7 linked regions of the Ovis aries genome follow. The protein of the gene in region 3 purifies or fractionates together with the protein of the main gene of each other region. This does not show direct contact. Links are inferred from orthologs where the notes say so. Each region holds a gene or a part of one and is shown on either strand. Other genes may lie near its edges.

Region 1 (4,193 bases), on a different chromosome or scaffold from region 3:
CTACACTTTGAAATATGACATAGTAACTCAGAAAACTCAGGCGTAAAGCATTAAGCTCTGCAGCCACTCCTGAGCTCTTTTAACTTCTCAAGCCTCAATTTCCCGCCTGGACAATGAGGGTGACATAATTTCCACAAAGACACAGGACCTGTAGTCATGCTGGTTAGCTAAGATACCTGTTGGAGGGTATCATTTATGAATTATATGATCACTGCTAAACTAGTAACAATCGTGAGCAAAGTGCTCAGAGCCACTGACAAATGGAAAAGTCAGAGGCCATTTGCACGGTCACGAAAACCCGTAGAGAGAGACATCACCTTTTTAGGAGGAAGCAAAAAAGGAGATCTAGTTTCGTGCTAACGCATTAGAAACAACTGGAGTTTCTTCAGCGATTTGTGAGATGCGGTCAAACATTTGAAAAACTTTAAACACCATGGACACCAGTTCACATGGCAGGTCATGAAGCACTGAGCATAATTCTATTTTCGATTTCATGCGGAGAAAGTTTTTGCTGAGACTAGCACAACAGAGGGACAGTAAACACAGACCTCCTGGTACAGTCTGTGATTTTCAGTGTGCCTGCAACACTGCTTTATTAGCCACTCGTAACATGAAAGTAAATGACAGTTAACACATGAATGTCTTGTTTTCTTTTTAAACTTGATCTTCTGGGCCTGATTCTAGTTTCTAACAGCTCAGTGCTCTCTTCCATGACCCATCTGCCTTCATAAACTTCTCTATTTTTTACTTAACCTTCCAAAAGACTTAATTTTGTCAGCATCACTTTTTTTTAAAAGAAAGAAACAAAGCTCATCAGTCTAAAACTAGAAAAGTCCTTAAAATGAACAACTGAACACACATTTATCAGTCTCAGCTCAAGGGTTAATTCAGCAAGTGATTAACCACTTGTACACGGTAATCAGAATTCATTTCACATTAAGGAAGCCCTAGAACGTAATATTTCAAACAAGAAACTTCCTTTTAAAGATGAGCACCTGCCCTATGTGAGGCATCAATTCAAGTCTTAGAACAATAACTCAGCTTCAAGAAAGGAACTGTGTCCTGCCCGAGCTGAGAAGAAAACATCCTTTCTTTCCAACTAGGGAAGAGCCCCCCTGAAATGGCTGAGAACATGCCCTCAAAGTTCTTGAGACCAGAGACGCTCAGTCACTTGTTAACGCTGCTACATAAAATCGTCCACAGGAACTGCTCTGCCTGTTCCACCTGCTTCAGCTGGAGAAGGACCATTGTCACTCTCCGTGAAATCGTGGTGGTGAGCGTCTCATTTTCTGAGAAGACATTGTTTCTTTCTGTAATAATAAAAAGAACTATACAATAAATGATGAAAGTCAACATAAATATTAATAAATGATAATAAGTGCCTCATTTGGTTATTAATGTACTTTACTGGCAAACAGACCCCTTGTCCTGTTTTGAGATAAAGACACATATGCAGCCCTTCTTAAAATTGTGTCTTACATGTATTCCTTTGCTCACTCAGAGTCTGGTAACTATGGGAAAAATTACCTGTGGTTTTAGGGAGTTTTGGACGCCTTGGTAAGATCTGCCTGTAATTACACCTGCACACAATTTACCGGACCTTCAATGACAATAAGAAGTTATGGGAAGTACACAGAAGTCTTCATTCACTGTTAGAGAAAAGATTATTTCCCAAATTTCTTACACATTATTTAGGAATCCTATACAAGCCGGTGACTACATTTGTCACTAAGCAGGGTCCCCACACCGGTTTCTATAGAAACTGACAGCAGCACAGCCTGGAAAGAATTCAGGGAAAGAGCCGGGGTGAGGCACTCTGTGCTCTGGGAAAACTGGCAAAACAGGCTCTCCGGTTTTCAGGAACTCAGATTCCTAAATCTTCTCAAATTCAGAAAAGCACTAAAAGCTTTAAGGGAGACAGCAGCTCCTCCTGACCGGTGGTAACCTCTGCGCGCCTGACCCCGGGCCCTGCTCCAAAGTCACATCCTCGCTGACCTCAGCCCGACCCTCGCCGCCAGGGCTTCCCTCTGCGCGCTGACCGCCGTGGACACCCCGACCGGGAGGGGACACGCCGACCGCAGGGACACCCCGACCGGGAGGGAGCGCTGCGGCTCGGGCCCTGGCGGCCGGGAAGGTGGGACGGCGCCCCGGTGAGGCCGAGCGCGGCTTGGGGAGACACCTGTCCGCTGCTCTCGGGCCTGAGGCCAGACGGATTTTTCCGTTTTGCAAAGGGCTCGGTCGCTCAGCACAGAAACCACTAACCGGCCCCGGTCCTAAAACCGCTCGCGGCGGGGAGTGGGCCGGAAACACCTGGCCCCCCGCGGAAGGTTCTGGAAGCTCCGCGGCGGCACGGCCGTCGTCTCGAGTCACGTCCCCCCTACCTCCTCTGTTCGGGGTCGCGCGGTCCCGGCGCTCGGGGCCGCCGAAGGGTGGGGGGCCGCCGCGCCGACCCAGCGCCGCGCTGCCCTCCGCTCCGCCCTCGCCCCCCGGTCCTCGCCCGCAGCTCCGTCCCCGCGCGGCCCCCGCCCCGCGCACCTGAGCTCCAGCTGGTCCAGGCTCTCGAGCAGGCGGCTGGAGCGATCGGCCATGGACGAGGAGCGACAGAAGCGGCCCTCGTTGGCCTTGGCGCTGATCCTCGCCTGAGCCATCTGCGCCGGGCGGGCGGCCCGAGGTCACCGCCGTCCCCACGCGCCAACCGTCTACTCGGATGCGCTGCCCGCAAACCCGAAGTCGGGGGCCAGGGCACCCAGATAAGGGCGCGAGGGCTTGGCGGCCGGACTCCGACCGCGCGAGCTGCCTCGGGGGCGGCGCGGCGGGGCGGCTCCGCGTGGCGCCAGGCCCGGCCCCGCCCCGAGCACGCCCCGGGGCGAGGCCCGCGCCAACCACGCCCTCGCCCCGCCCCACGGAGGCCCCGCCCCCAAGCATAGCCGGGGCGGGGCTCGCGTGAGCCACGCCCTCACCCAGGCTGGCCCGCGGCGCCCCGCCCCCGATCACGCCCCGGGGCGGGCTCGCACCAGCCCCGCCCTCTCCCCGCTCCGGGGCCATCCGCCGCGAGGAAGGGGTCCTTTGCGTAGCCGTGGTTCCCGGGCACCTTCCCGAGGTGAGAACTGGAGTCTGGACGCCAACAGAGCAGAAGACAAAAAGCCGCCCTGTCCAGCTGCGTGTAGGGGTCAAGGTGAACCTCATCGTTTTCACACCCACTCGCATGAAAGCATTTGTAATGACTTCTCTGTTTAAGTTATTGGTTGGAATTCGAGTGAAATGATTGTTATTTAAGGCCGTTTCTAACCCCATTTGTATAAACCTCCTGTTATGAGAAGACCATGGAGGCCGCTCGGCCACCGTGCAGGTCAGGGAGTAGTAGAGGGGTGGCGGGGCCAGAGCACACTAGGCGTTCTGCCCAGCAGTACACGGAGGGGATGCACAGGGCACCGGGAAGGGGATAATAACAGTTCAAGGCTGGAGCCCAACCTTTAATCTGAGATCAAAGTCGAGGTACTTGAACAGAGATGAGGCCCCTAAGGCTAGATCCCAGTTCCTCTGAACTCTTAAATACTAATTCACAACTGCTGTAGGGGGTCATCTGGCCTCATTAGACGTTTTATTGTATCATGACAAACGTGGAATCCTAGACGTTTTGTGAATGTGCTAGACTCTCTCACACCTCAGACTCAGTGGACTCCAACTCCAGAGAATACCCAGGCCCGTCTTCACTCCCCACTGGGCCAGCATCCCAGCCTTGCCCTCCCATCTGGTCTGGTGCTGTTTGCACCACTGTCTGTGCTCAGCTCAGCAGCTGCAGTGATCCAGAATAAGGCACAGCAAATGACTCCTCAGAAACCTTCAGCGGCTCACTTGTGAAATGAGTAAAAGCCAAGGCCTTCAGAAGAGGCCTCAGAGGACTCTCGTCGCCTGCTGCCTGCACTAGCCTTGCTGTGCATGTCTGGATAAGCTCACTCCCTACCTTCAGGCCTTTGCTCAAGTTCTCTAAGGACCCCGACCACTCTAGTACGAAGAGCAAGCCCCGCCCCCGCCTCACCCCCACCGCTCCTCAGCTCTTTCGGGCGGCTGTTTTCCTTCCTCATCTCAGCAACCCCCCCCAAGTGTGCCCCACTGCGGAGGTGAGGGCTTCCTTTTGCTCACTGATGTATTTCAAGTGCTTAGAATAGTCGCTGACAAATGTTAAGTACTCA
Region 2 (4,097 bases), on a different chromosome or scaffold from region 3:
TTTTTGTACTGTGTCCTCAAATTTAATGGATTAATGTGTCTTGTATATATAAAAAGAAAACCTCTACCTTCAGCCTCTGCCCATTCTTGCTCCGTCTAGGATGTCCTCAGTCTCGTCGATGACCAGCTTGGTGAATAAATATTACTGTACCAACTGGGCCTTCTCTAGCAGGCCCCGAAGGCGGTGGAATAAAAACGAAATCTTCGCCCTTTAAGAACTCCTCTGACCTTAATGTGCTGCCCTTGAGGGGATTCCCTCGCCCTCCCTCAAAAATTTCACAGTGGTGCCTGTAAAGAATCATTGCAAATGTTCATTTCCGTCATCTGTAGCAGATTGTAGGCAGTGAAGGGAGTGGGATAGCTGATACTGGGTGGAAAGGGAGAGGATTAACCAAGAACTGAAAGAAATCGCTTTGTATTGATAGAATCAAAGTTTAATTTAGATGGGTCCGTGCAAATGAACTGGAAAGAAATGAGTGCGAAATATGCACTGTTGGCTAGCAAAACTGAAGCAGTAGATCTTGCTGTTTGAGTGTTTTCATTTCACATAGCTAATATCCACACCCTTGAAGAGGAGGAGGCTGGAGCAAGGCCAGGTTTGGGAAGGAGGTGAGGGCACAGAGAGGGGGAGAGGCTTTGAAAGTCACTGATAGGCAAAAGGGGACACTTACACCTCCAAATTCTTCCTTCCCAAAACTTGACTAGATTTCCCTTGCGCTCTCACAAAGTTTATTCTGATGGTTGCAGAGCCTACGTTGGCAAACTACTTAATAGCTGGAGAGATGAAGTTAAATCCATGCATTCCTGTGTCTTTTACTCTGGGGATGTCATTATTAAAGTAGAAGGAGCTTGATACATTTTGTCCATTCCTCTAATACTAGACTTAAGTCAGGCGAGAAACAAACGATGAAAGAAGGGAGCGGGTGGGTTTAAGGCAGAACACTGGTCCGTGGGTGTGGTGAGTCTGCAATGAGGAAGGGTCTGGGTCCGGTTAATTTCTGTGGGTGGAGTGCCCTCTGGCGGCTGTCTCCAGTGCCATCAAGCGTCAAACCCTCGAAACCCTACTGGAGTGGGTTGGTCGGCCTAAAGAATTGGCTTAGAGGGCAAGTGTTCGTTGGGAAATAAAAACTCAGTACGCCCGCTCCCTTCACAGGAAGCAGGTGGGGGCAAAAGTGAAAGCCTTTAGAATTTGATAGGATCGCCCGCCCCGCCCCTCAGCGACGTCCGGCTTACGGTTGTTTTACGACAGTGTGCGATCGCATGCTTGCTTTCCGGCAGCGTGGTCTGACGCTTCGCTCAATTTCCGACAGCGTAGCTCTGGCTGCTACCCGCTGTGGGCTTCAAAGGTTCGAGTCCCACTACGGGAATGAGCCTTTTTGACCTCTTTCGGGGCTTTTTCGGCTTTTCTGGACCTCGGAGGTGAGAGCGGATTCCGGCCAGACACGGAGGGGCGGGAGTACTCGGAGGGGAGCTTGACCCTGGACACCCTATTTTTGGAAAAACATCCTTTTCTACCCTCCTAAAACTCCTGCGGGGAAAAAAAGGTCAACACTGAACACTCACCCCCCGACAGTAACCAGGGCGGTCGCTAAGAGAAGAAACAGCCGCTTAAGCTTTTCTCCAGTTTAGGGTGATGTAACAGGGGACCGGGTGGGGAAGACAATGGGCTCTGGAGTCGAGGACAAGTGAGCAAGACCTTGGGGGAGGGCAGGGGCTGGGAAACACTTAAGAAAAGCCGCAGGGAAGCGCTGGGGGCGGGGCGGGGTGGGGTGGGGCACCAGGTGAGGACTGACGTTGATGAAGCAAAACAAACCCGATGGCCAGTCCTCTACCCTCACTCCAGGCCCTCAGATCCCAACTCTTGTCCTACTCGTCGAGTCTTAGCTGATGCTATGGTTTAAGTGCTGAAATTTTGGTGGCTAATCTGCCTCCACCCCTAGCCACAGAGATCCCTTTTTTGGAGGAATGACTCGCGATGAAGACGAAGATGATGAGGAAGAGGAAGAAGAAGGAGTCACGTGGGGCCGTGGGAACTCGAGGTTTGAGGGTCCCCAGCCCCCTGAGGAATTTAGCTTTGGCTTCAGCTTCAGCCCGGGAGGAGGAATGCGTTTCCACGATAACTTCGGCTTTGATGACCTAGTACGGGATTTCAACAACATCTTCAGCGAGATGGGGGCCTGGACCTTGCCTTCCCGCCCTCCTGGTGTGTGGATGCTCCTGGGGAAGAACCTGTGGTTTCTACTGGGTCGGTGGGTGAAAAAAAAAGACTTGCAGAGAGTAGTTGGGGGTGTTGGGAAGTGTGAGAAAGCTGATGATTTCAAGGAGATTTAAAAGAGCCCAAGTCCTTTCCTACTCCCAGCATCCACCTGCCACCTTTCTGCAGAACTTCCAGGTCCTGAGTCAGAGACACCTGGTGAGAGACGGCAGGAAGGACAGACGCTTCGGGACTCAATGCTTAAGTATCCAGATAGTCACCAGCCCAAGATCTTTGGTGGGGGCTTGGAGAGTGATGCAAGATCTGAATCCCCCAAACCAGCACCAGACTGGGGCCCCCAGAGACCTTTTCATAGGGTGAGTACATCTGGGCCTGAAGTGGGAGCTGTGGAGAAGACTGCAAAGACTGGAAACCTTGCTGGAATCTAACAGACTTGGGTTGTATTTGTCTGTTTTCTATATTAAGCTTTGTGTAGGATTTTCTTTGGGAGGAAATGGGAGTTCTGCTTTTTGTTAAAAATTACTGTAGACGATGCTTGGAGAAAGCAGAAATGTTTGAAGGAGGACAGAAAAGTGTCAGTTCAGGAATGCTTTTTTGGTAGAGAAATACATGAATCAGGTAGGAAGGAGGGGGAGTGAGTAAAGAAAGCCATCCTGCTGGGATCATTTCTCCTGAAAAAAAAAAAAAAAAGTAGTTTTGGAACTTGGAAATAGGCTGGGTTCTGGGGCCCCTCAAACTTCAGATTGAAAGGTGTCATTTGACCTACTTTGGCTTCTTCTACAGTTCGATGATACGTGGCCTGTGACCCCCCACTCTAGAGCCAGAGAAGACAATGGTAAGTCTGGAGGGAGAGGACATTTACCAGCCCTTTGGTGTCCCTCCCTGAAATTTCTGTCTGCCACATTTGTCCCCTTCTTCGCTTTGGACTCTTTCTTGTTTCCTTTCTGTGCCCTTCTAGATCTTGATTCCCAGGTTTCTCAGGAGGGTCTTGGCCCAGTTCTGCAGCCCCAACCCAAAACCTATTTCAAGAGTGTCTCTGTGACCAAGATCACTAAGCCAGATGGGGTGAGTTGGGAGAGATGGGTAAAGGCAGCTGTGACCAGAGAATGTTCTGGAAAGGGGGACTATGTAAAGAAACAAGTGAACCCACCTTTAGTGATGTTAGGGATATGGTGGGGGGACTTCTTCTTGTAGACTATAGAGGAGCGCCGGACTGTGGTGGACAGCGAGGGCCGGAAAGAGACCACAGTAACCCATCAAGAGGCAGGCGGCAGTCCTAGAGATGGTAAGTGAAGAGTATAAATCAAAGGGATCCATCTCTTAGTTCCATGGGAAAGGGAAACTGTTGCTCTCCTACCATTAAACATTGCTGCCCTCCTTTGCCTCTTTCCAGTCTCCTTCATTTAGCCTGTGTGTATCACTCTTTCCCTTAGGTCCAGAATCACCAACACCTCCATCCTTGGATGATTCCTCTTCCATCCTGGATTTGTTCCTAGGACGTTGGTTCCGGTCCCGGTAGCCTTGTTAATTAATCACAGAGACCTTTAGATTCTTTCCACTTCCCACCCTTTGCTTGGTATTAATGGGCTTAGTTGTCTTCCTGCCACCTCAGGACCTTGGGTGTGTGGAACAGTGAATTGAAGGTCTGTCAGTGTGTCAGTCACCCAAACTGACCAATAAAACCTTTATTTATGCTAATTCTTTGGTCTTGGTTTTGTCGTGGCTATTCCACTTTCTCACAGTATCCAGGGCTTCCCAAATTAACTTGGCCCACAAAAGATTAGCTCTTTGCTTTACTTGCAAAACTGATTCTGATAAGTAAGGACCAGGTACCTTTAGGAAATGATTTTCCTTGTTAATAAATAACTAGTGATAGTTCCAGG
Region 3 (4,229 bases):
GAATGAGATTGCATTTTGACAGAAACTTTTAAAATGTAGACCTTCCTTAAATTACTCAGCATTTCTTTATTAAAAATATCTTCATGAATATTTATCAAATGACATCAAATAGGCCATATTTTAATTGAACTTTATAAATATCTCTCTTAGGTTCATTAATTTACTTTATTCTTGAGAATACACATACCAGTTTCCGAATTCGGTCCAAGACGAGGTCAATGATCTCCTTGCCAATGGTGTAGTGACCTCGAGCATAGTTGTTGGCAGCATCTTCTTTGCCTGTGATGAGCTGTTCAGGGTGGAAGAGCTGGCGGTAGGTGCCAGTGCGAACCTCATCTGGAAGAGGAAAACGAAGCAGCCACCCATCAATGACCCATACAAGCTCCACCCCAGGGTATCAGTGGAGCCCACAGGACACACCTCCTGTCACAGACCCTCAGGATTCTCATTGAAGCTACTGAGGTCAACTCACCAATGACTGTGGGTTCCAGGTCTACAAACACTGCCCTGGGCACATGCTTGCCAGCGCCTGTCTCACTGAAGAAGGTATTGAAGGAGTCGTCTCCTCCCCCAATCGTCTTGTCACTTGGCATCTGGCCATCGGGCTGAATGCCGTGTTCCAGGCAGTAGAGCTCCCAGCAGGCATTGCCGATCTGGACACCAGCCTGGCCAACGTGGATGGAGATGCACTCACGCTGTGGGAAGGAAAAGAGAAAAATTGTAAAATTAGTTATATTAGCATTTTCAATTTTCAATAAATTTCCAAAATGATTTCTAGTAATATACAAGTATTCTTTGAATTTATTTGAGGTCATATTCCTAACATAATAGAAACAGTTAAAGAAAAGCACTTGCTACAAATGCTGCAGATGGGTGTGGTCTGGATAAGGCTGCACTGTTAAGCACATGGTGCAAGCCGATTGTTCCAACAGCCATACTTGAATAGAAGATTTTTCATATTTAAAAAATAGTCAAGCACAAAATTTTTGTAAAATGAAGTAATTTCAATCACTAGTTAATTGCAATCATTATTACTGCCTCCTTCACCTTTAAAGATGAACATTTTTTTGATAGGACTTGGTATTTCAATATGGACATCTGTACTGCAGCTGAGGCTAGAAGCCACACCCTTCTGCAGTCTGTCTGCAGAATCCATCAGTATTAGGGGGTAGAAGCTAAACAAGGACTGTCTCCTGCACTGCTGCATTTGCTGTGCCTGGTGCCAGCCTGTACTGTCTGCTACATTATTTAACAGAGCAAGCTCTATTTCCAGCAACTGCCTACATGATCTCATTGTGCTATCTGCCAGTTTTCCTCTTCTGACCCAGCCTGGGACCATATGCCTAAACTGAAATGAATTCATGAAGATGCACTAGAACAAAAGACAGCTACACAAAGTATAAGTCTTCTTTGTCTGCAGCATTTTCATTATTTAAAAAAGTTTTCCCAGAATCTTCTCCTCTGCAAAAAACTGAAAAAGTATTAGTATCTTTAAAACAACAGTTCCTAAACTAGAAATAAATAGAACATGAAAAGCTACCAAGCTTAAAGCCCAGTGAAATAATTAAATATTTATATAAAACAACAAAATAATGTTTTCATTCTGAAATTTCGTACCCACCACAGAATACTCATGCTCATTACATTCAGTAGAGTGTCCCCTCCGTAGCCTTTACGGTTACAACTTCCTTTGTCTGTCCATTGTCTAGTCACTGACAAACGGGGGCTGGGGGCGGGGAAGGGCGTTTCCCTGGGTCCTCTGCATTAGAGCACCCTGGCTCACAAAATCGGCTTTTTCTCTCGCTGAACATGCGATCAAGACAGACACACAGGAGTCAGCCAGGGCGGGGCGGCCCCAGACCAGACGTTAAAGGGCTTGTCATGTGAACTGTGACTTTGCTCCTCAAAAAAAAAAAAAATCTAAGTTTTGACAGTGAATGAAAAACCTTTTAACGCCTACGGTTCTGTAAAGATGAAAGGCTTGTTAAAAGTCTTTCTGACAGAGGAGGCTTAGTGAGGACGAACCCCTCCCAGCGGCTCCAAGGCGAGAGAAGCAGAAACAAACAACTCCGCCCCTGCGCCGCCTCGACGCCGGCCGCCACAGAAACTAACCATTTTGCCTGTTAATACATGGGTGTCTTTCTAAAACACCAACGAACTGGCGAGGGATCCTTTTTTTTTAATACTAACCTCAGGCTCCGCTTTGTCCCTTTCCTTCTCTCCCCGAGTCTTCTTCCCAGCTACACCCACCGACCCCCGTCTTTTCGGTCGACGAATCCTCTCCCTGTCCCTGGGGAACAACGCGAGGAAGGGCTTCTCCGAGTCACACGACTATCGTGCGCACACGGGGGCCGAGCAGGCGACGCCAAGACCGCCCTGCCTGCCCCAGCCCCTTTCTTGACCGACAGATGGGCTGCTGCACGCGGCTGCCAGGGACTTGGGTAACAAAACCTCCCTAGGCGCCGCCTTTGTTCCCCCTCACTGCTCAGCCGCGCCCTGGACTCAGTCGTGGTGGGGCTCCTGCACCCCGCACTGCGGCGGGGAGTCCGGCCGCAGACAAAGCCAAAACTCGCAAATAAAATGTAAAGCTACTCTTACCCATCGAGTTGTAAAGGACAAAGGTTTTAAGATTTTCCAAGGAGACCCTGGGGAGGCTGACCCCACCCAGCGTCACAAAGAGCCGGAGGAGACACTCTTACCATAGTTGCTGTTTTGCGGCTGCCGAGCAGATGGCGGAGAGGAGAAGAGGTTGTTACTTCTTACAGCGCGACTCTTAGGCGGTCGATGTAAGAGAACCTGCGGCACATGGGCGTCTGAGGCTCCCTATATACAACTCGGTCACCATGGGGATGGGCTGGGGCCTTTTCCTGTTGGTCCAGACCCCTCAATCTGCCCAGAGGAGCCGCGACAGAAGAGTGGTGATTGGTGCATGCGACATGGGATGAGGTAATCTCTCCCCCACCCCTTTTCCCCTAGCATCCATAGACTGCTTGCATCCTTCAGACAAAGAGACCGAGCAAAAACAGTCAGCCGAGCATCCATTACGGGGTGGGGTTGGGAAGGGGTGGGGGGAGGGAGGGAAAGAGAACTGGAGTTGGGTGACTTTATATTGTTTAAACCTCAAACTGCTGTTAAAATCATCAATGTAAAGGTTTTCCTCCCAGCATTTAATCGCAGAATTTGAGATGAAATATTTTAATAGAAAATTACTTTCAGCTTCTCCCTCAGAGTGTGCTAAACCCACATTTGGTGAAGATTCAGTATCTCTAGTGCTTTAAAAATAAAGTAGAAGAGAAGATGGGAATGATGCTTAAAATGGCTTGGGTAAATGTGTTTTGTTTTGTTTTGTTTTTTTAATTAAAAAATTATTCAATAACCATCCAAAATGGTTTCTCAGGTTCAAGTAATTTTTTTTCAGACCTTCTTTTGCCACCCTCTCCCTAAAAGCTAAACAAAAACACTAGATGAAAAGAACAATCAATCTATGGAAGCACACAAGTAGTTCTAACATGAAGATAATTCAGATCTAATGAACACACCATACTTACTCTACTGGAAATATTCCAGAAGTCTATGTTAATATATTTTATGTCGTGTATTGTTGCTTAAAATGATCATCTTTTCTAATATAGAATTGAGAAAATACAAGGAGAGAGAATTGAGTTTAGACGCTAGTACTACCTGTGCATGCAGTTATATTCTGCATTGTTCTCTCTTCTGGAAAGAGAAAATTACTGGGATACCACATTAGAAAGGAAGAGAGTTGTATAGTGTGAAAAAGAAGACTATTTTGTAATATTGTCTCCTTCCGTAGACAACTGTGTAGATGTCACCTCAATAACTGCATTTTTTTTTAATGTAAATCTTATGTGAATTCAGTAAATTCTCCTCCTCTAAGATTGGGCTTCAAACTGTGGGAATTGTAGCCAGCCTCATACAGCTGCTATTCAGTCAGAGACACTGGTGGTTGCTCAACTGCCTCTTGGGACAAAAGGCTTTGCTTAAGGAAGTGGAGTGCAGTAACATTCTTTTGCTACTCAGAAAGCTTCCATTATCAACAAGGATGTACAGTGCAGAATATGCCTCTGGACTGGGTACCATTTGACGTTGCTAATGAAATTTCAGAGGTAAAGAGGTTTGCTGTGGCCCCTGAAGTTGAAAATATGCATTTTGGCAGATAATTTTTCCTTTTGGCTTTTAGCAAGAGATTTTCAGGGTCGGCAGCACCA
Region 4 (3,974 bases), on a different chromosome or scaffold from region 3:
AAACAGCTGGAACCACCCTCTTTAGCCAACCTACGTTTCGTGGACTAAAAACGCACCCTGATGAAAGAGCAGGCTCATTTTGAAACCCTCGCTGTTATTTGTGTGCCCCACACTCGCGGGCTTTTATCAGGACTGGAGCAGGCTCCCGAGTGCCTGCAGCGCGGTGGGCGGCAGGTCTGCGGGCCCCGGTCGTTAACACGTTTCCAGGGGTTGCCCACACTTTCTCCCGAGAGTCTCGGCTCGCCGGGCGCGGTGGGAACTAGTGGACCAGACTGTGACAGAAAGAGAGAATTTATGTGAGGGACGGGAAGAAGAGAGGGCGCCCGACAGGGTCCCCGGGTCAGCGTGGCTGAGGGATTTGCACGAATTTATCAGTACTATTAACAGCTATTTGCAGAGGGTTGTTTACCGCCGAACGCGCGACAACCATACAGCGGAGCCCACTCCGCACCCCCAAGCCACGCCCCCTTGCCCCTCAGCACCCCTCCTGTCCCCCAAACTAATTAATTCGAGGCGGTCCGCCTGCTAGGCCCTCCCATTGGCTCCCACCCCATCCAATAAGAATCTTGCAACAGTTTCACCTGGCTGCTACTTCCCAAATAAACAAACAAGCCGTCCCGGGACCCTGCCAGCTCTCCTCCCGGGCGCCGCCCGAGACCGTTGTGCTCCGCCCCCTCCCACCACCTCTCGCCCCCTCCAGCCAATCGAGCCCGGCCGTGGTGCCCCGGCCCCGCCGCCGTCTCCGGCTGCTCTCTCCTCCGCCACTCTCGAACTTCTCCCGATACTCCCCCAAACCCCAGTCCGTGCCTCCTTGGAGTCCCCGTTAGGACCAGCGTGGCCAGGGGCCCCGCCTCCTCCCGTGGGTCCTCCCGAGACCCACAGGCCGGGAGATTCTCCCAGAGGGTCTAGGAGGGGTTGGAGGCCGCCCCACCTCTCGGGCCGGCCACCCCCTCCCTCGCACACCTCTGCCGGCGGCGGCTCGCGCCCCTCTGCTGAGCTTGTAGCAGGAGCCGCAGCGGCCGCCGCGTGAGGCAGCGGTCACGTGTTGTTTTGCCCGCCGCCGCGCGCTTGGAGTGGAGTGGGCGGGGGCGCGGGCCTAGGCGGAGGGGGGGCGGGGCGGGCGGAGGGGGTAGACGGCCTCTTCCCCCAACTCTCCCGTCCCCGAGCCCCCCCTCCCTTTCGCTCACCTTAAAACCCTCGTGCATCACCATGGCTAGCTGCTCCTTCGCTCGCGACCAAGCGACAAGGAGACTGCGAGCTGCAGCAGCGGCAACAGCAGCGGCTCTAGCTGCGGCGGCGACCACCCCATTTCTTTCCTCGGGAACCCCCACCGCACCCATTGGGACCGGGTCGTCTTGTCCGGGAGCCATGTGGCTCTCCACGGCCACTGGCTCCCGGTCAGACTCGGAGTCCGACGAGGAGGACCTTCCCGTCGGGGACGAAGTCTGCAAACGCGGCTACCTGCGGAAGCAGAAGCATGGGCGCTGGCGCTACTTCGTGCTCAAACTCGAGACCGCCGACGCCCCAGCTCGGCTGGAATACTACGAAAATGCCAGGAAGTTCCGGCACAGTGTCCGCACCGCGGCGGCTGCAGCGGCGGCGGCCGCCTCCGGCGCCACGGTCCCCGCGCTCATTGCACCGCGGCGCGTGATCACCCTGTACCAGTGCTTCTCGGTGAGCCAGCGGGCCGACGCAAGGTACCCACACCTCATCGCTCTTTTCACCCAAAACGAGTATTTCGCGATGGTGGCCGAGAATGAGTCGGAGCAAGAGAGCTGGTACTTGCTGCTCAGCCGCCTCATCCTCGAGAGCAAGCGCCGCCGCTGCGGCACGCTCGGCGCGCAGCCGGAGGGAGAGCCGGCCGCGCTAGCGGCTGCAGCGGCGGTGGAGCCACCCTTCTACAAAGATGTGTGGCAAGTAATAGTCAAACCCAGGGGGCTGGGGCACCGAAAAGAGCTGAGCGGCGTGTTCCGGCTCTGTCTTACCGACGAGGAAGTTCTGTTCGTGAGGTTAAATACAGAAGTGGCCAGCGTGGTCGTCCAGCTCCTGAGCATCCGTCGCTGTGGGCACTCGGAGCAGTATTTCTTCTTGGAAGTCGGTAGGTCCACCGTCATCGGTCCGGGGGAGCTCTGGATGCAAGTGGATGACTGTGTGGTGGCCCAAAACATGCACGAGCTGTTTTTGGAGAAGATGAGAGCCTTGTGTGCAGACGAATACAGAGCCCGCTGCCGCAGCTACAGCATCAGCATCGGCGGCCACCTGTTAACCCTGCTGTCCACTAGGAGGCACCTGGACATGCTGCCGCTCGAGCCCGGCGGCTGGCTCCGAAGGTCCCGCTTTGAGCAGTTTTGCCACCTTTGGGCCATCGGTGATGGGGAAGACGAGATGCTCTTCGCCAGGCGCTACATAACACCCAGTGAGCCTGTGCCCCGCTCCAGACGAGGAAGACTACACCTGCCCAGAGGGCGCAGACCCAGGAGAGCGACTTCAGTGCCAGCCAGCTTTTTCCGCCACACCGCACCCAGCCCTGTGCGCATCCTGTACCCTGCAGAAGCCCTCCACGACCGAGATCCCGTGTCTTCTGAAGCCTCTGGCTCTGGCTCTGGCAACTCAGGTGAAGAAGGTGGTCCTCAGGGCAAAGAGGATCAGAAAGAAAACGAAGGTGACTATATGCCCATGAACAACTGGGGCTCGGGAAATGGCCGGGGCTCAGGAAGTGGACAGGGTTCAAGTGGGCAAGGCTCCAGTGGCCAAAGCTCCGGGGGAAGTCAGTGCTCAGGCAGGGGGCATGGCTCTGGAGGTGGTCAGGGCTCAAGTAGCAGCCATGGCTCAAGTGGCAGCGGCTCCGGGGACCAGAGTGCAGGAGGAAACCAGTGCTCCGGGGACGGCCAGGGCACCGCTGGGCATGGCTCAAGCAGTGGCCAGGGAGCTGGAGGTGGGCATGGCTCAGGCCGTGGCCAGGGACCCGGAGATGGCCATGGCTCAGGCGGTGGCAAGAACTCCGGAGGTGGCAAAGGCTCAGGAAGTGGGAAGGGGCCCGAAGGCAATGGTGATCGTGGGAAATCTCTGAAGAAAAGATCCTACTTTGGCAAATTAACTCAAGGCAAGCAACAGCAAATGCCACCACCTCCGCCCCTTCCACCCCCACCAGGTGCAGCAACTGGTGGGAAAGGGAAGTCTGGGGGAAGGTTCCGACTTTATTTTTGTGCAGACAGAGGGGCCACAAAAGAACGCAAAGAAGCCAAAGAAGTGAAAGACACGGAGCCCCCAGAAGGTGCAGCTCGGGGTCCCCACAGAGCCAGAGCTTTTGATGAAGACGAGGATGATCCGTATGTGCCAATGAGGCCAGGCGTGGCTGCTCCTCTCGCAAGCTCCAGTGACTACATGCCCATGGCTCCTCAAAATGTCTCTGTGTCCAAAAAGCGCCACTCTCGATCACCTTTCGAAGATTCTAGAGGGTACATGATGATGTTTCCCAGAGTGAGCCCACCACCTGTGCCAAGTCCTCCAAAAGCACCTGATCCTGCTAAAGAGGATGACTCAAAGGACAATGACAGTGACAGTGACTATATGTTCATGGCCCCTGGAGCTGGTGCCATTCCTAAAAACCCCAGAAATCCTCAGGGAGGCTCTTCCTCCAAAAGTTGGAGCTCCTACTTCTCTCTGCCAAATCCTTTTCGGAGCTCCCCATTGGGACAGAGTGACCATAGTGAGTATGTACCAATGTTACCTGGAAAATTCCTAGGAAAGGGCCTAGAGAAGGAAGTCTTATCTAACAGAGGCCCCAAAGATACAGCTTCAAAGCCTTCAGTTGAAGGGTCTTTCTCAAAGCCTAGAGATGGGGGATCACCTTCCAAGCGTTCAGGTGATGGGCCCCCCAAGCACAAGGCTAAGAGACCTAATCGACTTCCTTTTATGACAAAAGGAAACAAAGTCAAGCCAAAACCACAAAAGCCCACACAGGAGCAGAGAGA
Region 5 (4,296 bases), about 38 Mb from region 3:
GATTTTGGAGCCCCCCAAAATAAAGTCTGTCACCGTTTCCATTGTTTCCCCATCTATTTTCCATGAAGTGATGGGACCGGATGCCATGATCCTAGTTTTTTTAATATTGTGTTTTAAGCCAACTTTTTCACTCTCTTGTTTAATTTTCATCAAGCGGTTCTTTAGTTCTTCACTTTCTGTACTATGTGTACTTGTTTTAAAAGCATAGCCCGAATTACACTTTATTGCTATTGTTCACAATTTTGTCCTTCTTACTAAGTTACAAACTTCTCAGGACAGTGTCTATCTAGTCATCTGTGTATTAAATACCTAGAATACTTCTTGACACATAGTAGATGCTCAATAGCTATTTGTTCACTAAATGAATGAATGAACACGATTGATGTCTGTGAGGCTTTGACATTAAGTAGAAGATTCCTTCTAGAACCACTGTAATAAAGAGTGTGCAATATTCCAGCCCCAAGCTACCCAAAGGTGGTTTAGAAAACAGAGACACCATCTATCTTGAAATAACTTTTAATGTTTTACAATGTAACTAGTGTGCACAATACATGTTTTAGCAGAAGAATGAAAATGTGTGTATGGTGTTTAGGAAAATTGACATTACAAAACAAGACCATGTTAAGAAAATTCTCAAAAGTAGAAGTAAACATTTAAGTAAAAACCAAATAAACAACATGCTAAGGGACAGGATTTTAAAATCCTAATAAATGTACTTGCTTAAATCCAGATGGGACATTGAGATTTACTTTGCCACTTTAAAAAAAAAAAGCAGAATGCCCTTCATTTTAAAATGCATCCAAAAAAAAAAAAATGTTTGCACACTGTTTTCCTGCTGGCAACTATGGTATAATCAAGTATATAAGAATACCAGCCAGATTCCAATCTGATAGTAAAAAAGTATACCACCTGGTCTTCTAGTTATATATACAGTTCACCGGGAAAGTGACAAAAAATCACACTACACGCTACCTTTCAGACCCTCTGTGCTGTCCAGGCCCCAAAGTGAACAGTTGAAAACAATTTCAACTTAAGAGAAAATGCAAATAAAAATCTACAGCACCTTATGATTTCTAAGCACAGGAAACAGGCAGAATGGACATACAGGAGGAGGGAAAAAATGGGTAAGACCAATGATGTGCTCTTCAGTAAATTCCACTTCTACATAGCTGCTCAAATGGACAAAATGGTGATTTATGTATTGGTCATTGGGAGAAAAAAGCTGATGTTCAACATTTCCTCAATTTGGCAGATCCCTCCAAAATGTAAGGATCAGAGATAAGTTATCCACACAACAATTTCCCAGGTCTTCATCAAATCACTAGGTAGCACCATAATGGTAGAGGTCATGGTGAGGAAGAGGAGGTAAAGAAGAAAGAAGGATTAATCTTTTTCTTCCTACTTGCTCTTCTCCACCAGACCGCTAAAGTTCAAGGAGTCCTCAGAAAATCAAACCATCAAAAATGCATTTTATGCAAATAAAGCATTATCCAGCAGTGTTTCCCTCAACACTTCAGAAGCATGTAATTCAAAGACAAGCAGATTTCTCTAGGATCCTGACAAGCAGTGCCAGCGTGGCAAAGTTTAATGCACAAGAATGGCAAATGATAATGGTACTGAGAAGAGCTTCTTGGTCACGGTGGGGTAAGAATTAAATCCACAGAGAAGGCATTTGCTAGCACATTATATGCTTAAAGAAGAAAAATAATCCAAAGTACATCTGTTTCTTTTTCAGATGTGAATTTCACTGAGAATGGGGGGTCCCATTTTATCAACTTTTTCTTACAAGTAAATTCAAGTTACCAATTCAAACCACTCTTGCCTTATGTAAAAATATTAAAATCTTATATAAACCTTAGCAATGGCCTGAGAAATGCAAGGACATTCACAAAGAGATGTGTGCAAAAAGTGTTTCTCTCAGAGAGCAGCATAAGTTGCAAGAAGAATCCACCCTCTAGAATGAGATTTTAGAAGGGGTTTGTTTCTATTTCCATTAAATCATCACGGGAGGTTTTATCTAAAATTTGTACATAGCATAAAAATGTATTTAATACATTTAAATTCTAAACAAATACTGACCATCGGTATCACCAAATGTGATTAGGTATATTTGTAGAATTTGAGGACTATGTAAGTTTCTATTACATATGAGTAAAATTTAATTTGTACATTTCAAATACAATTATCCTTACTTCACATCATTTGTTTAGAACATCAGTCCACTTGGTTATGATCACAACTTTCAACCCTTTAAGAAGCTGTACCAAAGTTTAAAAAAAAAAATCATTAGATCTGATAGTAACAGGTGAGGAAATACAACTCCTTAAGGGTTGAATGAATAAGCCAGATATAAATGCTTAAGAAAACATTTACAAGTATTATATAGGTAATAAAATTAAATACAAATAGCTTTCTGTTCGTTAAAAAGTCTCTTTAGGACTCGAAAATGGTGCACATGTGGGGGCATTGTGATGTGCATGTCTCTGCAATGCTGATGTTACTGGGTTACACAACTTCGGGCTAACACTGTGCTTCACACAGGATCGAGAATGTGCCCCATCTGTAATGCCGCTGGTGGAAACAGACTGGGTACCTAAGTGCTGGGCTTCCAATCTCTTTTCCAGTGTCATTTCCTCTTTAGTTAGTAGATGAAGAAGCTTCTGCCTTCCCTGTGGCTTCCTCACCAAACAGCAGCTTTCGGAGTATATTTGCATAAAATGGTCCATACACTTGTTTGTTGAGATTCACGATGTTTGCGTATTGCGAGCCTAGCGACTCCAGCTCTTGCTGAACGACAGCAAGGCCTCCTGGCACGGGAGGCATGCATCTTGGAGGGCTTGGCAGACAAAGCAGGCTCTTCATGTATAGCTGGATTCGTTTATCTGGGGGAAAAGAAAATAGGTTTATCTGTCCTATTATTAAAGCATGTACTTTTTAAACATGAGAATAGTAATTGTGGTAGATGGATTGCAACAACATCCTCAATTCTTTACCCCCTCCCTATACTCATGCCCTTTCCAAGGTAGCCTGGCAGTTCTTCCCATCAGGGCTGGAGCCCAGGTGCCCAGGTCTTGGATCAGGGATGGCCTTCTGACCTGCTTTGGCCCATGCAGAATGTGGCCGGAGTGATGGTGTGTGAGTTCCATGCTCAAGAGGCATGGTTTGAATCTGCCCTTTCTGCCTGCCACCACTATGTAAACAAGCCTGAGCCAGATGAGAGCCCATGTTGAGGGAAGCCCAGCTGTTCCATCTTAGGCCATCCTAGACCAACCAGTAGCCAACCAAATCCCAAACACGTGAGACAGCCCAGGCAAGACCAACAGAGCTAACTACCCATGAGGCTGCTTACCATAAATGCATGCATTGAGTCCAGCAAGACCAAATGAACTGCCTAGTTGCCCCACAGACTGGTGAGCAATGATAGATGGAGTCTTAGGGAAATCTGTTACACAGTAATAGCTAACTAATAAAACATACACAGCACTTTCAGGGTAGAGTGGGGAATCTTTTATAAAAATTCAAATGTCCATAATTTTAGTTATATATCCTAAAGCTGAGTATATAAACTAGGATTGCTAGTTTAGCCCAGACAGTGTTTTTCTAAAAAACAGAAGCTATTTAAAATGAGGGGCGTTCACATAGAAAATCAAATTTTTGGTTCTTCTTGAAAAATCTACAGATCTGGCAAACTTGGGAGCCCAAACTGCCACAAGGCAAAGGGGAACATACATCTAGGTTTTTTCAGGATAATTGAAGTTGACACCTGCTGTCCTGGTCTTAATAAAAAGAACACTTTCAACAGTGTCCCGGGTTAGAAAATAAATTGTATGACCATCCCCCATGTGGGCAAGAATCTGGAGGCACTGAGGAAGGACCACCCCAACTAGCACTGCCACCTTCTCCACTCTTCCTGCTTCGGTGCATCTGCATTTGCGAAGACTTCACAAATGCATGCAAATGCTTAAAAAAGGGAAGCTGTGGTGTCCTGGACAAATGGCACTGGACAAGCCAGACCTGCTCCAGCCCAGGCTGCTCCAAGGACATTCTCTGGCTCTGGAAACAGAAATCTCACAAATAAAAACATTTATTAAGGAAAATGAGTGAGTGAGTGAAGTTGCTCAGTCGTGCCTGACTCTCTGCGACCCCACGGACTGCAATCCACCAGGCTCCTCCATCCATGGGATTTTCCAGGCAAGTATACTGGAGTGGGCTGCCATTTAAATACACTCATCTAATACAGACAGCTGTAATATTACTGAAATTCTTATATCCAAACACATCTACCCCAAATCATAC
Region 6 (3,500 bases), on a different chromosome or scaffold from region 3:
CTGCCCAGGTCCCGGCTCCCCGTGGAGCTGTGAAGCAGCGTCTGCCTTGGGCCGGTTCCTGTTTGGTCCTCCTCCCTCTCCTGCCTTCTTTCTAGGTCTCTGAAGAAGCCGCCAGGGACCATGCTTTCTAATGCCTGCTTCTTCAGGCCTGCTTTCCTGCACTGTTGACGGCTCTCTTAAGAAAGGCTTGTAGTTTCCCCGCCTGCTTCCCCATCCCCGCTCTGAGCGTTCCTTCAGCTCAGGTCTGCCTCTGGTCACTGCCGGCTACCTGGGGGGTTCCCAGTCATGGTCGCCTGTGCGCGGGGTGTGCTGTGAGCCGCAGTCCCCGCTCGCCTGCATGCTCATGACCGTGTTCTGCTCACTGTTCTCCTGTTCCTTTCGCCACCCAGACGCGTGGACCTCCTGCTTTGGCCACGCCTGCCTGGCTTAGAAATAGGCCGTGCCGGTTCTCTTGCTTCTGTGTCATGGGTTCGTTTCTCTGAACCATCTGTCAGGAGTCCTTGCTTTTATTTCTCAGAGAATTCCCATTTCCTAGAAAAAATACAGCACCGATTGATTTCATAGTGAACTTAATAGGGAACCTCAGTGAGTTTTAAAAGTTTGTCTAATTCATGTTTTCAGTAAGTGCTCATTGATTGGTGACAGCCACCAGAAAGAGCTCCGTGTGGACAGCTTTGCCCCCAGCTCTCTGCTCAGTCTGCGGTGCGTGTTGATGACCCTGAGCTTTATGTTGGGGCACGTTGTGTCCTGGTTTCAGATGAGTCTCGGCAACCGCGGTAAAGCCGCAGGTTAGGGGGATCGCTCTGAAGGCGAGCTGCGCTGGGGAGAAGCTCTGCTCCTGCTGGAACTGTGTCAGGAGGCACCGCCCGCATTCCCTTCGCAGCTCTCCTGTGGAGAAGCACCCTGGGGTCAAGGCTTCACTAAGCACTTCTGTTTCTTTTTAGAAGACCCGTTTGAGGACTTCTTTGGGAATCGAAGGGGCCCCCGTGGAAGCCGGAGCCGAGGCACGGGCTCGTTCTTCTCTGCTTTCAGCGGATTTCCCCCCTTTGGAGGGGGGTTTCCTTCCTTTGATGCAGGTACCACACCCTCAGACTCCCCTGGTGTCTGAGTGGGCGCCCGCGCAGGCTTCTGTCACTCAGGGCACTCTGTAGTGTGCACATGCCTTTTGTGGAGCAGCTTGGGTTTGCCACTGTTTGTGTATATACAGACCTTTGCTTAGTAACCCACATTCCCGCCCACCCCCGCCCTAATGTTCCAAAGAGATGTTATACTTGAGAACCTACTTCAGATCTTCACTGTTAAAGGCCAGTATTTAATGAAATTCTTGGTTAAAAGGAATGAGGTTTTGGGATAAATAACTGGAATAACTCAGATAATCTCATTAAATCCTTTTTAATCTAACCTCCTCAGCAGTTTAAGGAAAAAAAATGTCCTGGGGAGTCCTAGTCGATGGGGTCAGGAGCTAAGGCTGTAGTGGGGCCTGCGTGCGCCATGCCGAGTCTACTGGTGCGGTTTGGCGCGTGGCACTGGAGGCCATCCATCCGCTGGAGTCAGGCACACAGCCTGGCGCAGCCGCATTTCGCGTGGAGAGTTGGAGTCTCAGCTCTTCTCTGGTGCTCGCCCAGCTCCTCTGTCTGTTCTGGGCCTCCCTTGTGTGACTGTCCCACGCTCTGTGGGCAGCACAGGGGACGCGGCTCCCAGACTCTGCTCCTCCGAAGCCAGGGGTCTGTGCCGCCCAGGGCCAGTGCAGCTGTGCCTCCCTCCGGCAGGCCCTCTCCTCAGATGCCACGTGGTGTGCCGGGAGTTAAGGGAGAGTCAGAGAAGAAAGCTGGGCAAGCCTGTCAGAGCATTTCACTTAAGGAGTGTGTGTGGCATGCCGTCCTCCCCTTTAAGGAGCCGTGGGGAGGGCATGTTTCTGCTGTAAGGGGGCATTCAGGATGGGACAGGCAGCGGGCTCCAACAGGCAGAGCAGCCTCAGCCCCAGCCCAGAGTGGACTTGCTTTGTTGTGACTTCTGAGAGTCAGGGTTCATGTCCTAGGTGAACACCTCATAGCTGAGAGTTAGTCCAGGAACTCCAGACCCATACTTCTCCTGATAATTGTGGCATTCTTGCTAAAATTATTTCAGCTTCCTGGCAATTGAGATTTGTATCCCCTGTGGTCACAGTTACAGGGAGCCAGCAGAAGCTTGTTGGGTGTGCCAGTCTGTGGTGGGGTTTGCTCCATCCTGTGAGATGTGTGGGGGCAGGGTGCTGGCCCGTCGGTAGGGGAGGTGGCCGGGCGGCTCCACAGGGGCTTGCGTCTGCTTCCCTGGGCTGGCTGCGCGTGCTGCGCTCATCTCTGACCCCTCTGCTGTCTCTTACAGGGTTCGGTTCCTTCGGCTCACTAGGCCACGGGAGCCTTACGGCGTTCTCCTCCTCCTCGGCCTTCGGCGGCAGTGGGATGGGCAACTACAAGTCCGTATCGACGTCGACGAAAGTGGTGAACGGCAGGAAGATCACCACCAAGAGGTGCGGGCCTGGCGTCTGTGTTCTCAGGCATAGGTGTGGGGGGCATCACCGGTGCCACCCCCGGGAAGGGCAGGGTGTCTGGGCCATCTGGGCCCCCTCCGATCAGAGCTTGTCCTTTGAGATGTCTGCTTCCTGTGGCACATTGGATGTTGCTCCGTCCAGCGTGCAGGGGTGCGTTGGGATGGCAGTGCCTCCGTTGTAGCGCCTTGGCCGCTTCGGCAGCTGCTGCCTGTGCTCAGCCAGAGGCGCCCGCGCTCAGGACGCTGGCTTCCGCCACAGAGTCGCTGGCTTCAGGGGCGCCCGCGGCGGGTCCTCTGAAGGTGCGCGCTCAGGTCCACAGGCAGGCCTGCTCACCTCAGATGACGATCTTAAGGCGTGTGCTATCCCCCTTGCCTCCCCTCCCGCAGGATTGTCGAGAATGGTCAAGAAAGGGTGGAAGTTGAAGAAGACGGCCAGTTGAAGTCCTTGACGATAAATGGTAAGGAGCAGCTGCTGCGCTTGGATAACAAGTAGCTGACGCACGCGCGTAGCAGAACCCTAACTCTGGCACGCGCCATGCGAGGATTAACAGGAACATTTTTTTGAAGATTTCAAACGAACTCGACTTTCAGTATAACTGTACCTAATCTAAAGTATTTATACGCAGCTCGTCGGAGCCCTGTTTGTCATAGACTTTTGAGTTTACTGTTGGGACCACGTAATAGGACCATTTTATTTGTCTTTAAAATTGTTGTAAATCTCTGTATGCACTTTGCTTTTTATTAAACGTAATCCAAGGTGGCCGTGACTCTTTCGTACACTAACACCAGCACGGACTGCTTTTCCATTGTGTTTGAAACGTGAGCCGAGTAGTCTCAGCCTGCTGTGAAGTTAACATTGCCAGGATGACTCTTCCACAAGATAATCTCAGTGTTTTCAGTATTTAGCAGTGACGATGTTAATACGTTGATGGTGATGCATTTCTGGTTTAATGTGCATTGAGGATGTTTTC
Region 7 (4,191 bases), on a different chromosome or scaffold from region 3:
AGAATCCGCCTGCCAATGCAGGAGACATGGTTTGATCCCCGGGTCAGGAAGATCCCCTGGAGAAGGAAATAGCGACCCACTCTAGTATTCTTGCCTGGAGAATCCCATGGACAGAGGAGCCTGGCAGGCTACAGTGCATGGGGTGACAAAGGGTTGGACACGACTTAGTGGCTAAACAAGTAAACATTATTATATTATCTAATAGCTAGTATACAGGCTGGGGATCTTATTGTTAAGTGCAACGGAAAGTCATTCAAGGCTTTTAAGCAGAGAAATTATATGATCTGACACGTGTGTAAAAAATCATGGCAGGGAAAAGGATCGGGGTGAGAAAGAGATCCTAAGATATTAGGAGTGGAGGCAGGGAGACCAGTTAGGAAGCCCTTGCCTGGTGGGAGATGATGTGACTTGGCCAAGAGGTGGTGGAGATATATAATAGTGGACAGATTCAAGAAATGGTTTAAAGGTAAAGATTCGGATAGGGGACACAGGAGAGAAATCAAGGAAGATACCTGAAGCTTTGCAGTGAACAACTAGGTGGTGATTTACTGAAATGAGCAAAGGGGTGGGTGGAAGGGGTCAGAGGGTCGTTTCTGGTTGTTTTTTTTTGTGTTGTTGTTCTTTTAAGTGTAATATTTATTATTCTTTGCGTGGTTACTATGTGCCAGACGCTGCGCTAGACGGCTTACAGATTAAAATTTCACAATACTATCAGTAAATGCTGTGCCTCAGTTTTGTAGAAAAGAAGCTTAGGCTTAGACTTGGGACAAGGCGCATGTTCTCACCGCTAGAAGTGGTGGAAGCTGAATTCGAACCTAAGTCTGTCTGCTTCCACGGACATCAGGCCTCTTCTTTGCGAAACGAAGACCGTTTCGCGTGAGTTTTGTTAGGAGAAGGCAAATCATGACCTAAGCGTCGCGTCCGTTGTACCGTTGACTTTCAGTCATTGTCCCCGCCCATCTCGCTCGCGTACCTCCTCCCGGGCGTCCAGCGCCTAGCTCTATATGAATGAAATTCCTAGACTTGTAACCAATATAAAACTTCCCTCCTGCAATTGGCCAGTGCTGGAGGAAGAGCCTTGTGATTGGTAGAGAGTCCAAGGAGGCGGGCGGAGGGAAACTTCTCGTACCGTGGACGCCGGCTCTAGGACGCATCCTACATCACCAATCTTTACGTAATTTTCTCCGACTGGCAGGTGCCTGGGCCGGACGGATTCCTGCGGCGGCGCGATTCTCTGACGTTTCCCCTTCTAATTGGCCGGGAGCTGCGGCTGCAGTCCCGAAGCCTAACTGGCCGCCCGCGCCGCCTCGGAGGTGAAGTGTACTGCACTGATTGGCTGTGAGGCGCCGGCCGCGTGTGATGTCCGGAGCAGCGATTGGCTCTGGCCCGCTAGGGGCTTCTCTCGCCGGGACTCGGGACTCCCGGGAAGTGGACTGGTAGAGGAGGGGGCAAGCTAGCTGTCGCTGCTAACTAAGTCGGAGACCCGGGCGTAAGACGGCTTCTCAGGGCCCGGTGGGCTGACGAGCCGACGCGGCGGCGGGGGCTGTGAGGAGTGCGGGGGACCGGGGCCGGCACAGAGGGACTATGGCCCCGCAGAACCTGGGCACCTTCTGCCTGTTGCTGCTGTACCTCATCGGGACCGTGATCGCCGGGTGAGGAATTGGAATCTGCGGGCACGGGGCCATTAAGTCAGTCTTGGCTAGGAAGCAGGCTGGGGAGAGAAGGGGACATTGTCCGACGGGGGGAGTGGTAGGGGGCGTTGCTGTGGTGAGGCGGTGGAGAGGAGGAGTGGGTAGTGTGGGCCAGGCTAGTGGGATGGAGAGGACGACAGTGGGTGACCCGGGAGATAGGGACTTAGACTCGGAAGCCCTAGAGCTAGATTTGCCCAGAGAAGCGAGGGTTGGATGCAGTGACAAACGCAACGTGGGATGAGGGGCTGCTGAGTTTGGAGAAGGGGACGATACAGTGTTAAGTCTACGACGAGCCGTTGGGCTGGCATTAAAGTGGGTGGGTTGTGATACCAGGCAAAGTGAGGAAGTGGGGAGAATAGGTAGGGTAGCCATGCCGGGACTGAAAGAAATTGGAATGAAGGAGCAAGGCAGACCCTTTGAAGAGCCCTTGTACCTTTCAGCTTCGTGAGATACTGAGCCTAAGCTGTCATGCCTCATTGTCTCTCCAGGAAGTATTCTTAGGGAGCTGAGTAGTATTACAAGCAGAGGGGAGAAACATTTCACGAATAGCCAGTAGACTGGAATTCTAGCCCCACCCAACTTATGAATTATGTGACTTTGAAAGAAAACCAAAATTCCCATCTTTGACATGAGGATGATAATGTGCCACCTGTTTGAAGGAAGCAGGACCTCCTGGACTCTAGAGATTCTCCAGCCTTTAAGATCCACTGTCCTGTAGGGCCGGTATCCACTGAATTTGATATGTCAGGCTCATATTTAGAATGTGGAAAATAGTAAATCCTTAGCTTCTGACAAATTTGTAGGTTACTCTGAAAGAAGAAAGCACTACCTAGAAGAACTTGACACTTTTAAGTGCTTATTATTCTCTTAAAAGTCCCCCCACCCCGTGTGCATATATGCTTAAACTTTTTTTTTTCCCTTGTGAAACATCTTATATTTCTAAAATAAAAATCTTCTTCTCCTAGGTAAAACTTTATTGTATTTTTAACATGTTTTTGTTAGCACTTTTTGCACTTAAAGCAATGTGTACCTTAAGTTGTTGAACAAGATGTCAGCATGCTGCTGCTGCTGCTAAGTTGCTTCAGTCGTGTCCAACTCTGTGCCATCCCACAGATGGCTGCCCACCAGGCTGCCCCGTCCCTAGGATTCTCCAGGCAAGAACACTGGAGTGAGTTGCCACTTCCTCCTCCAATGCATGGAGTCGCAAAGAGTCGGACACGACTGAGTGAGTGAACTGACTGAATGACTGCAAAATTGATATTTTCTCTTTTTCAGCGCAAAACTCCACAACTCATACATTCAAATGAATGTTATTCTCTTTTCAGGCTTCTCTTGTTTGGGCTTTGACTTAACTTCTGTGTTAACCTTTGAAGTTAATTTCAGCCACTTCATCTTTAACATTCAAAGAGTGCTACTGTTAGAATGTTTATGTGATACAATTTTTTTGGATAAAGAAAATCATCCTTTGAGATTATTTGATCTTTGGAAGCAGTCAAGTCATTTGAAGTCGATAATAGAGGATGACAAAGAGACTCAATTTGATTATAGCGGTATGACCATAAAATAAGAAAATGACTTTCTTGACTAAAACTAGTTATCCTAAGAATGCCACAGATACTTTGAATAATCCTAGCATTGTTCAAAAAGTACATAGCCTCTCATTATGATTGCTTCAGTGTATGAAACTCATTACAAATTCTGGTGTGGTTTTTTAAGTCATTCTTTTTGTGTGTCACATATGTACCTTCATTTTCCTACCTCTTTGCTCAGACACAAACCTAAATGTAAAGGAAAAAATTTCACTTTTAAAAATGTAATGTATAACCCTTTAATGAAGTATCTTCTCCCTCTCCTGCATCCCCAGGCGAGACTTCTATAAGATCTTGGGGGTGCCTCGCAGTGCCTCTATAAAGGATATTAAAAAGGCCTACAGAAAACTAGCCCTGCAGCTTCATCCTGACCGGAATCCTGATGATCCACGGGCACAGGAGAAATTCCAGGATCTGGGTGCTGCTTATGAGGTGAGTCAGGAAGAAGGTAAAGTATAAACAAAACCTTGCAGATACAGAAAAGACCATGTAACGCAGAGTAACACTCCCGTTTTTCAGGTCACTTTTTAAAAGAAATAGACAGTAGATAAAAGTAGTGCTCAGTGCTGTATTGTACATGTATTTTAGAAGGTACTACTTCCTGCCCTTTTCATATCAGCATTTGTTTTATTAAGGAGAGTAGTGTTGAAAAAGATGAATGAAAGCAGATAGAATTGGTAGATTAATAGTAGATTGGAAGTTGGAGCCAGAAGCAGAAACAAAATCTAAATGAGGATTGCAAATCCACCCGCCTACGTGGACCAGGCAGATAATATGCATGGCAGGTATTAGGTAAAACAGGAGAGTGGATATTCTGCCTCCATTTTAGCAATCATCAGGGAATGAAGAGGACTCTGACAAACTGAAGACTTCTTGACTCATTTCAAGGGGGCAGCTGTTATTCAACCCCA

Evidence for each region.
Region 1: the proteins of tubulin alpha-1A chain (region 3) and BAG2 purify together in Homo sapiens (affinity purification with mass spectrometry; 4 studies listed by BioGRID and IntAct, with this or other methods). This does not show direct contact. The link is inferred for Ovis aries from reciprocal best matches to the Homo sapiens genes TUBA1A and BAG2.
Region 2: the proteins of tubulin alpha-1A chain (region 3) and HAX1 purify together in Homo sapiens (affinity purification with mass spectrometry; 3 studies listed by BioGRID and IntAct, with this or other methods). This does not show direct contact. The link is inferred for Ovis aries from reciprocal best matches to the Homo sapiens genes TUBA1A and HAX1.
Region 4: the proteins of tubulin alpha-1A chain (region 3) and IRS4 purify together in Homo sapiens (affinity purification with mass spectrometry; 3 studies listed by BioGRID and IntAct, with this or other methods). This does not show direct contact. The link is inferred for Ovis aries from reciprocal best matches to the Homo sapiens genes TUBA1A and IRS4.
Region 5: the proteins of tubulin alpha-1A chain (region 3) and TCP11L2 purify together in Homo sapiens (affinity purification with mass spectrometry; 3 studies listed by BioGRID and IntAct, counting the BioPlex papers as one, with this or other methods). This does not show direct contact. The link is inferred for Ovis aries from reciprocal best matches to the Homo sapiens genes TUBA1A and TCP11L2.
Region 6: the proteins of tubulin alpha-1A chain (region 3) and DNAJB6 purify together in Homo sapiens (pull-down; 3 studies listed by BioGRID and IntAct, with this or other methods). This does not show direct contact. The link is inferred for Ovis aries from reciprocal best matches to the Homo sapiens genes TUBA1A and DNAJB6.
Region 7: the proteins of tubulin alpha-1A chain (region 3) and DNAJB11 purify together in Homo sapiens (affinity purification with mass spectrometry; 3 studies listed by BioGRID and IntAct, counting the BioPlex papers as one, with this or other methods). This does not show direct contact. The link is inferred for Ovis aries from reciprocal best matches to the Homo sapiens genes TUBA1A and DNAJB11.

What each region holds. Positions count from the first base shown.
Region 1 is NC_056073.1:3,197,015-3,201,207, forward strand, and holds the start of BAG2 (BAG family molecular chaperone regulator 2), read right to left. Parts: upstream 2,801-4,193; 5' UTR 2,649-2,800; coding exon 2,536-2,648; intron 2,534-2,535; exon of another isoform or gene 1,528-2,533; intron 1,311-1,527; exon of another isoform or gene 1-1,310. UniProt on the Homo sapiens protein: Co-chaperone for HSP70 and HSC70 chaperone proteins. Acts as a nucleotide-exchange factor (NEF) promoting the release of ADP from the HSP70 and HSC70 proteins thereby triggering client/substrate protein release.
Region 2 is NC_056054.1:104,558,408-104,562,504, forward strand, and holds HAX1 (HCLS1-associated protein X-1), read left to right. Parts: upstream 1-1,297; 5' UTR 1,298-1,365; coding exon 1,366-1,418; intron 1,419-1,939; coding exon 1,940-2,244; intron 2,245-2,382; coding exon 2,383-2,570; intron 2,571-2,997; coding exon 2,998-3,049; intron 3,050-3,172; coding exon 3,173-3,279; intron 3,280-3,408; coding exon 3,409-3,499; intron 3,500-3,647; coding exon 3,648-3,733; 3' UTR 3,734-3,912; downstream 3,913-4,097. UniProt on the Homo sapiens protein: Recruits the Arp2/3 complex to the cell cortex and regulates reorganization of the cortical actin cytoskeleton via its interaction with KCNC3 and the Arp2/3 complex. Slows down the rate of inactivation of KCNC3 channels. Promotes GNA13-mediated cell migration.
Region 3 is NC_056056.1:137,067,885-137,072,113, reverse strand, and holds the start of tubulin alpha-1A chain, read right to left. Parts: upstream 2,801-4,229; 5' UTR 2,703-2,800; coding exon 2,700-2,702; exon of another isoform or gene 2,191-2,699; intron 696-2,190; coding exon 473-695; intron 337-472; coding exon 188-336; intron 1-187. UniProt on the Homo sapiens protein: Tubulin is the major constituent of microtubules, a cylinder consisting of laterally associated linear protofilaments composed of alpha- and beta-tubulin heterodimers.
Region 4 is NC_056080.1:126,436,312-126,440,285, forward strand, and holds the start of IRS4 (insulin receptor substrate 4), read left to right. Parts: upstream 1-1,174; 5' UTR 1,175-1,209; coding exon 1,210-3,974. UniProt on the Homo sapiens protein: Acts as an interface between multiple growth factor receptors possessing tyrosine kinase activity, such as insulin receptor, IGF1R and FGFR1, and a complex network of intracellular signaling molecules containing SH2 domains.
Region 5 is NC_056056.1:175,308,353-175,312,648, reverse strand, and holds the end of TCP11L2 (T-complex protein 11-like protein 2), read right to left. Parts: intron 4,098-4,296; exon of another isoform or gene 2,883-4,097; coding exon 2,638-2,882; 3' UTR 501-2,637; downstream 1-500. UniProt on the Homo sapiens protein: Promotes the migration of muscle-derived satellite cells (MDSCs) during differentiation throught interaction with FMNL2 and therefore may participate in microfilament assembly.
Region 6 is NC_056057.1:120,224,443-120,227,942, forward strand, and holds part of DNAJB6 (dnaJ homolog subfamily B member 6), read left to right. Parts: intron 1-944; coding exon 945-1,076; intron 1,077-2,364; coding exon 2,365-2,509; intron 2,510-2,916; coding exon 2,917-2,987; coding exon of another isoform or gene 2,988-3,022; exon of another isoform or gene 3,023-3,500. UniProt on the Homo sapiens protein: Has a stimulatory effect on the ATPase activity of HSP70 in a dose-dependent and time-dependent manner and hence acts as a co-chaperone of HSP70. Plays an indispensable role in the organization of KRT8/KRT18 filaments.
Region 7 is NC_056054.1:201,421,354-201,425,544, reverse strand, and holds the start of DNAJB11 (dnaJ homolog subfamily B member 11), read left to right. Parts: upstream 1-1,391; 5' UTR 1,392-1,584; coding exon 1,585-1,652; intron 1,653-3,555; coding exon 3,556-3,712; intron 3,713-4,191. UniProt on the Homo sapiens protein: As a co-chaperone for HSPA5 it is required for proper folding, trafficking or degradation of proteins.